2 linked regions of the Oryzias latipes genome follow. The main gene of each other region encodes a partner of the protein of the gene in region 2 in a complex. Links are inferred from orthologs where the notes say so. Each region holds a gene or a part of one and is shown on either strand. Other genes may lie near its edges.

The links.
Region 1: lamtor1 (region 2) and lamtor3 share a complex: the UniProt entries of both Homo sapiens proteins name them as parts of the ragulator complex. The link is inferred for Oryzias latipes from reciprocal best matches to the Homo sapiens genes LAMTOR1 and LAMTOR3.

Annotation. Positions count from the first base shown.
Region 1 is NC_019880.2:24,349,292-24,353,533, reverse strand, and holds the start of lamtor3 (ragulator complex protein LAMTOR3), read right to left. Parts: upstream 2,801-4,242; 5' UTR 2,735-2,800; coding exon 2,702-2,734; intron 2,618-2,701; coding exon 2,583-2,617; intron 2,428-2,582; coding exon 2,369-2,427; intron 2,002-2,368; coding exon 1,868-2,001; intron 1,222-1,867; coding exon 1,158-1,221; intron 90-1,157; coding exon 16-89; 3' UTR 1-15. UniProt on the Homo sapiens protein: As part of the Ragulator complex it is involved in amino acid sensing and activation of mTORC1, a signaling complex promoting cell growth in response to growth factors, energy levels, and amino acids.
Region 2 is NC_019871.2:21,798,437-21,802,483, forward strand, and holds the start of lamtor1 (ragulator complex protein LAMTOR1), read right to left. Parts: upstream 2,801-4,047; 5' UTR 2,515-2,800; coding exon 2,473-2,514; intron 1,336-2,472; coding exon 1,190-1,335; intron 1,095-1,189; coding exon 1,017-1,094; intron 585-1,016; coding exon 461-584; intron 1-460. UniProt on the Homo sapiens protein: Key component of the Ragulator complex, a multiprotein complex involved in amino acid sensing and activation of mTORC1, a signaling complex promoting cell growth in response to growth factors, energy levels, and amino acids.

The DNA of each region.
Region 1 (4,242 bases), on a different chromosome or scaffold from region 2:
AAGCATCATGGGACTTTATGTGACCTCCACCACCTGCCTCAGCTCCTCCATCAGAGGAGCCAGCTCCTTCTCCAGAGTCATGATGAGGCCTGAGGACAGAAAAGGAGGGTTTTTACAAAACGCCTCCCACTCGTGTGAAAAACCAGATGGATTCATTTTCACAAAGCTGGATGGCTCCTAACTGGAGTCTGTTGCTATGGAAACAATCTGACCCTACCCTGGTCAGGATCAGGTTTATCTGGAGAATCCCCTGACTGCATATGAGCACTGGACTGAATGTGACATCACACAGAGAAAATGGTTTACCTCCAGCTCCAACCACATGAAGTCAATTCACTCGCCATTTTTTCAGGATATATAAGCAGCGATAAGTCAATCTGAGTCCATGTTTCTATGGCAACCACTCTCACCAATCAGGAGTGAGCTTGTTGGAACTCCACACCCCTACCACCACTTAAAAGACATGAAATCTGTCGAATGGATACTCTTATCTGATTGGTCAGTTTATAACTTGAACCACAGAAAAATATGACGATCATAAAAAAAATGTATCCGAGTAAGAATACTTACTCGGATCAAAAGACTGAGTAACAGCTGTCTATTTCTCTGTAGGATTAGGTACTTCCTGTTTGGAACGCCAGGGGGGGAGGGCTCACTCTAGGTTTTGATTAGGCCCCTCCCACCTGAGTCTGCAGGATGGGTCAGACTCACAGGATTCATCTTTTGTCAGAAGGGGTTTGACAAGAACTTTTTTTCTTCTTTTCACTAAATATAATCCAGAACATTCCTGGAGATTCCCGTCAGACTAAATGATCTGAAATGTCGGGTTTTTTCTCAGATAAACTTCAACTTCTTGGCTCTTGAGCCGTATTTTAAATGCCAGTATTACCACATTGCAACATATTTTGGACGATGATGCTGAGTCACTTTCTCTGCTTTCTTTCATTTGGATGATGAAAAGGCCTCAGGTAAAAGTTTTTGCGTTTCCATGGCGATATTTCTCCTTCCCCACGATGCAGCAATAAGCTACACACGAACAGCGGGGTGCACGGAGATGAAGACTGAGATCATTTTAAGACACGCTCTGTTCAGAGAACATCAAACAGACTGCAGATAACCAGTGGGCGGGGCTCCTCAGACACGCCTCCTCATCTCACCTGTGTTGGCGCTGCTGCTGGCGATGAAGCTGACGACCAGCGGCAGGCGGTTAAACTGCATGATCTGTCGAGCAGAGACAGCAGACGGGTCACAAAGGCAGAACCAGAGCAGAGTCTGGTTACCATGGAGATTGGCCGGGTTAGGCTGGTTCAGAGCAGAAGGAATCCATCAGAGTGATTTGGTTTTTTTTTTTACTTAGCAATAAAAAAAACCCAAATATTTTCACTTCTCTGATTTTTCTTAAAAAAACTCAGGAAAAAGTTCAGCTGGCTTAACAAATCATGAAAAACAAAAGAAGACCAACAGATTCTGAGATTTTCCTCTGCTGGACGTTTTGTCTGCTCCATCAGAGGATAACGTTTGCAGACTTTTCTCCTCTCTGTCCCAGCAGAAGTTCTTCTTTACTCTCAGAACCCTCTGACATTTACAGAACCTGCTCTAGTGCTTCTGTTGTGATCCGACTCCCATGGATCATCTCATTTCAGTCCGTCTCACTCTGCTTTTATGTGAGGCTATTCTCTTAATCCCACCCCCAAAAGTTTACAAACAGGAAGTTTGTTACTATAAGAGACGATGGAGACTAGAGTCTGGTTCTGGATCTGACCCGGACCGGACACAAACTGGCAGGAACCGGATGAAGCGAGCGCGGGTGAAAGGCGCCGGTGTTCCGGCTGCCACGCCCCCACGCGGTGATGCTGGGAGGGGTCACCTGGTAGGTGTTGTAGTAGCAGATGATGCTCTTGTTCTTGGAGAGGCCCAGCTTGCTCCCCTGATCCGTGGCCAGAGCGAACGTGGACAGGAAGCCCGGTCTGAGCGCGTGCACCGGAACGCTGTCGTTGGCAACTGGAGGAAAACAAGCAGGCGTGTTAGGATGAGGACTTCCTGCTGGTGAGCGGTGCGTTCAAAGACCAGGGCCAGAAAAAAAAGTCAGAAAAATCCCCAACAGTTTGACCCCTAAAATGCAGATGAATGAGTCTTTTAGATCCATTTTCTGCTCTACTTTGGTGACTTCTAACCTAAACTCGTACGAGTGGAGCCAGAGCTGAGTCACCCCAAACCATGAAACTACTGCCACAACAAGAAGCTGCTGAGGCTGAGGATAAAGCGTTCCTGTTGAGTAGCAGGTTGGCCCTGAGGCCAAAAGTATTTCTAATAAGTTATTAAAACACAGTTTATTGGAACAGAAAACCCGAAACAGAAGAAGTCTCACCTTTGATTACCGGGACGCCGTCTCGGTCCGTCACCACGATAGCGTGAAGCCCGTCAACACTGAGGACACAGAAAACTACTATTTACATGTGATATAAGATACAAAAACTCTTTTTTGAGAAAAGAGATTTGATTTATAATACAGATTTTTTTTTCTTGTTATATAGTTAAAGTAAATCACTTTGTGCAATAACAATAAGGGACAAAAGCCTCACCTCTGCATCTGTTTGTACAGGAACCTCTTCAGATCCTGCAGACGGGAGCATAAAGAGTTAAGGAGCAACCTCAGAAACAGTCAAGAACGTGGACGTCTGTGAGCTTTAGAGCTTCAAACCGTCAGAGAAGATCCTGGTCTCCCCACCACCATTTTCACCCAGCATTACTGACAATAGTGACCGAGTAACCGCTGTTAATTTCTCCAAAGAAGTCTATGGGATTCTGGCTTCTTGGAGCCAACAGGTACTTCCTGTTTGGACAGCCAGGGGGAGGAGTCACCCAGTCTAGTTCTCATAAACAGTTAATGGAAAAATGTCACGTGACCTCTGTAGAGCGTCTGTTTTTAACACAACATATCCACATGTATAGAACAGAAAGAAATAAAGATGAAAATTAGGACTGTAGTCTAATACAAATGTAATATAAAACTAAGGGTTGTTACACAGCTTATCTGTTTTGCACTTTTGTTTTAATAAACTTTAGTGATTAAAAAAAACATATCTCTCTCTAAAATTTATTAAGTAATGGTTTGATTTTTTTTTAAGAATTTGCTGTTGTGAATGAAACATTAATACAATATTAAATGCCAAATGAAATAATTTATCACCTACAAACCATCCCACATGATACTGTGTGTTTTTGTAATTAGAAGAGAATAGTGAACTTTGAGCATCTTCCCAAAAACTAAAGAGTTTTTAGTGAAGCCTAACAGAACAGGAGGTGCTAAAGGAGGACAGACAGACTCACGTCCGCCATGGCAGCTCCGAGGACCCAAGCCGGTTCCGTCACAGGAAGTCAGGAGAACCGCCGGCTCCGAATCCAAAACACGACGAGCCCGTCCGGAGCGTTTCCACAGTGAGCTCGGTCCTCTGAACGTTTAAACAAACAATCAGCTGATGCTACCACCGTGAATTTCCAAAGAGCTGCAGTCACGTGACGCTTCTTCTTCGCTGTCACGTGACGCTTCTTCTTCGCTGTTTTAAACTGCCGTGTGCTCTCTGCTCCCCCTGCTGGTGGTCAGACGTCATGGTTCATCCATGGTCAAACCAAGTCTAATGTTTTTTGTCTTCTTTTGACTGGGAAAAATGTAGATAGAAAATATATTAGAACCTCCATCATAGTTCTGGACTAAGTGAAGATTCTAACATTACTTACAACTGATCGAAATGTGCTGGCAACATATTTCAATAAAGTTGACTAAAACTTTATTTTCCAATTATTTTGAATTGGAAATTTCTTTTAAACTTATTCTAAACACAGCTAAAATATTTCGCAGCTACTGCCACCTACAAGAAAATATTAGTATTTGGTCTCCAATCAGATACAATATATTGATTTATTTGTCCGGTATTGTAACATCCCTTATTATAGATTATTATACTGTCTTGCTGTCCCTGCTGAAAGCCCGTCGTCAGTCCATCCATCAGTAACATTTGCCCAATAAAAGTCATTAGTTCTTTTTTCAGCAGAGCTGCCTCCTCCAGATCGGTTGTTTCTTTCTGTGTGGATTGCTCAGGTGGGTGTCGTCACCTCCAGGGTCCTTTGTTTCCAGGACATTCCAGGCACTGCAGCTCAGGCAGGAGAAGGTTTCTGATCATGTTCTTCAGAACAGGTGAGACGTGAACTAAATCTTCAAACGTTCATCTTCCAATTGTCAAA
Region 2 (4,047 bases):
GAGGTTTTTTTTTGCCCCCAATCCGATTCTGAGTCATTTGATTTTGAAAATCTGCATGATCAGAACGCTATTACAGACTTCTAATAGAATATTTTAAAATATAAAGCACTGATCATAATAATGAAAAAAAAAATTAATATTAATACTTCAGCAGAAAGTAACATGCGATTTCAACTGAGAGTCTAGTAATTAATATCACTTGTTTTCTTTTTTTTGTCCATTTGTACATTTTTAAGGGGGAGAATTCTGAATGTTTAGATGAAGAAATGGGTTGATGCAACAATATTTCAAAATACTCTGTTTTTATTTTCAAAACACAACCAAGATAAACCTCAACTTTTTTATAGGGTCTTTGTTTTGTTTTTTAAACAAATCACCTGGTTTTACAGCATAAAACAAGGCAGGACAAACAGGACATGGATTCAAGGACATGGATTAAAGTGCGTGTCAGTGTGGTTACCTGCTGAATATCTGAATATGACACCAGATCACTTGCAAGCACTTGGTGGGGCTGGGTAGTGAGTGAGGGGAGGGCTAGTGCTTTCTTCTGTGGTAGGCTGGTGCTCACTGCAGTCAACTTTGTACTGGAACCATAAAAAAAAACACAAGTTCAGCTTCAAAAAAAATTAACCCAAATGGTCTCGCTTGTGTCCGACCAGACTGCACAGTTTTGCACTATAACCGGCGGTTGCCTTTTACAGCTTGACAGCTGTTTTGTCTAAACAGCTTTTATAGGGAAGCACCAGCACTGCAGCAATTTTGTGGTTAAATTACCTCCTTCACAACTTCCTCAGGATACAAAGACCTCATCATCCTCAATTGCTTTAGATTCCACGAATAAAACTGTTTTTTTTGCTAAATCCGAACCATGTATACAAAATATTGCAGAATAAAAGTTGTTCAACCAATTACAATACAGAGGCTTGCAGTTTACAAATTTAATATAAATTTAAATTATTGGCTTACACATGCCAAAAGTTCAGTTGGTAACGAATAAGTAGTCTTCAAAGACATACCTGTATTGCTTGGCTTTGTCCATGTATTCATGCTGCTCCATAACAACAGAGTCAGCTGCTGAGACATCAATGATGTTCCTCAAACACAACAAAGAGATTTTCATTACTTGCGTTTGAGACTATAGTGTCAAAAGTCCCATTCTGGACCTATCCAAACATAAAAAGTGCCTTACTGTGCTGTCTTGACCAGGATGGATGTGAGAATGGCCTGCTCATCCGTCCGCGCTGATGGGACGCTAGGATTGATCCAGTCTGTCCCATTTGGAGGCTTGCTAATGGGGTTTGGGTGGGGGATAAGGGGCTTAATCTCATCAGGGTCCTTGCAAAAGTAGCAGAGCATCTATTCAGACAATTTATACACACTTCTGAATGAAAATGTCACAAATACTGTCTTAAAACTGTTTTCTGAAGTAGTTGCAACAATGAAAGCATGCCATTTTACCAGGACAAAAGACTGTAGATGACATGTGTGCAGCAAGTTACTCATTTTTACTTTTAATAAGTGAACATATTACAAACTCTTCAACTAAGAGAAATCTCTGCAACCTTTGCTAGTGCTGAACAATAAGTCTGTTATGATATTTATTTTTCATGTGTTAGGTTATCCAGTACCATTTCATTTTAAATATTTTAAGAAACTTTTTCACTTAACCGGAAAACAGTTCATCTCAACTTTTAATTCTTTAAATACGAATACAAAAACCCTTCATCCACTTGTACATGTTATGCTACCAGACCTTACACAAATCAATAAAAATAATGTTAATTAAACCTAATGTGTGTTTTATTATAGAGAAATGTTTAAACTAAATCAATTATACTTTAAATTTCACTATGCTTTTAACAGAACAATTTACGTGTTTGGTTTAATGTGCTTTGCAAAAATAATAAAAATAGAGGGCTAAACAGTTATTTTACTACAACTATGATGGCATATTTACAGTAACAAAGGAACGTCACACTTGTTTCCTTATACTAAAATAGCTTGGAGTCTGCATGATCATGTGACACTGAACTCTTCAAGACACAATACGGAAAAGTCTAGTTATGTATTCTGTACAGCCTACAGCTCACAATTGATTTCTAACCCATGATTAAACAGCACGAACATAATCTACGTAACAAACTGCAGGACGTGAATTTGTTTGATAAGTAAATATTTCGTATATATAAACCACTAAACTTTAACAAGAAATCCAGATGTTTACATTAACAGATATACAACTTGTTTACTTTACTTAAGCTACTAAATCAGCTCCGGGCTAGGCCTGCATTAGAGTTAGCTACATTGCTTTAGATGTTACAGAAATATCTGACACAAAACTAGAAGTTACATGGGCAGGTTTTCCTCTTTATATTTAAATATCAATTTTAAAAAAAAGTAAATACCACGGTAAACAAGGCAGAACCGAGCACCGTACAGTTATCGGGTTGTGGTTAGCTAGCGGCTAACTACCTGACTTGTGTTCTCGTCCTCGTTGCTGTAACAGCAACCCATGGCGGCGGCGTCTGAGGAGCCAAACTAGCAATGCGCGGCTTCCCTGTTCTCCTTCAGATACGAGCCGCGCGCTCCGTCTCCAACAAACATAAAATTCCTCTCCTGTGGACTTTTACTTTAACAACATCAAGAAGCAGGAAGCTACTGCAGCACAGCAGCTTTTCAGACAGGCTATCACATGACAGCAGCTGTGTTGCAACAACAACTCAACTTCTACTTCCGGTTCTCGTGAAGCCGCTGCGGCCTTCGTCACGTGATGCAGGTTGTTTCATGCAGAAGCACAGTGGCGCCCTTCGGCGGGGCCGTGTGCCATTAGAACCCTCACCCCTTGCTTCGTTAACCCTTGTGCTATCCTAGGCATTTTAACATTGGGAGCTGGGTCATCTAGACCGACTAAACAGTGCGCTGAATCTTTTTTCTTCAATGATTTGTGATCTTCACTGGTGTCCATAAATTACATGAAATCTTTCCACCTTTATCCACCTTTGTCATGGTAGGGAGAACACGTCAAAGTAAGGGTGGGGTCATCTAAGATAGCACAAGGGTTAAAACAAATAATATTATTTTTGTTCCAGGCAATTAATGAAATCTGATAAACAATTATGTCATCAATATTTGTAATAAAAAATAGTATAATGTTTTTAAATTATGTATTATAATATACATATAAATCTTGAATCTATCATTTTTACAATATATAAAAATTATTAAATAAATAAAAAATATTAACACCTTCGTTTTCCTCCAAAATTTATTTAAGATAAGAAAAAATAAATATCTGTGGTGAATTCCACCTTCAGGAGCTTTAGCTGAAAATAATCAGTCATCTGTTTAAAAGCCAAAGGAAAAAATTGAGCAGAGCTGAAAAAAAAGACCTTTAAGTGTTAAATAATTTATCAGAACCAACAGCAGGTGAACAGGCCCCGTTTATATCGCTGATAAAGAAAATGGATGGACAGACGGACAGATGGATTATTTATTTTGTTGCTGAAGTGATGAAAAAAGGTATTCTTTTTCTTGTTTCATCTAATAACTGACTTTTGAAATCTGAAGTGTTGGATTTTTGAGTGAACAGTAATGGATAACAAAACTCCGCTTGGGATAATCTGAATCCGAATTGCAACTAAAAAAGACCCACAGTTTGCTCAGAATGTTGGAGTTTTGCTAAGTCCAACTACCTGCCAATCAAAAAAAAAACACACACCTCCACATATTCCACACCTGTGGTGAACAAAAATAAATCAATAGAAATATAAAATTTTGCTTTAAAGTCCGACTTTTAGATGTGAGAGTCAGTGGGAAATTGCCTCATTCTGAAACCAGCCTCTAGTGGTCATTTAGGTGTGTGACAATGAATGGGCGTTAAATTTAAGGTTCTCCATTTCAGATATTCACAGTGAATGTTTGGAAATCCACATTTACTCATAAAAATCCTCACAGAAATTAAAGAAAAGAAAAAATGTACCAGTCATAATTAATGAAGATAGTTAGACAAACAAATAGTTAGCCAAACATAAGTGCGGACAGGAAATA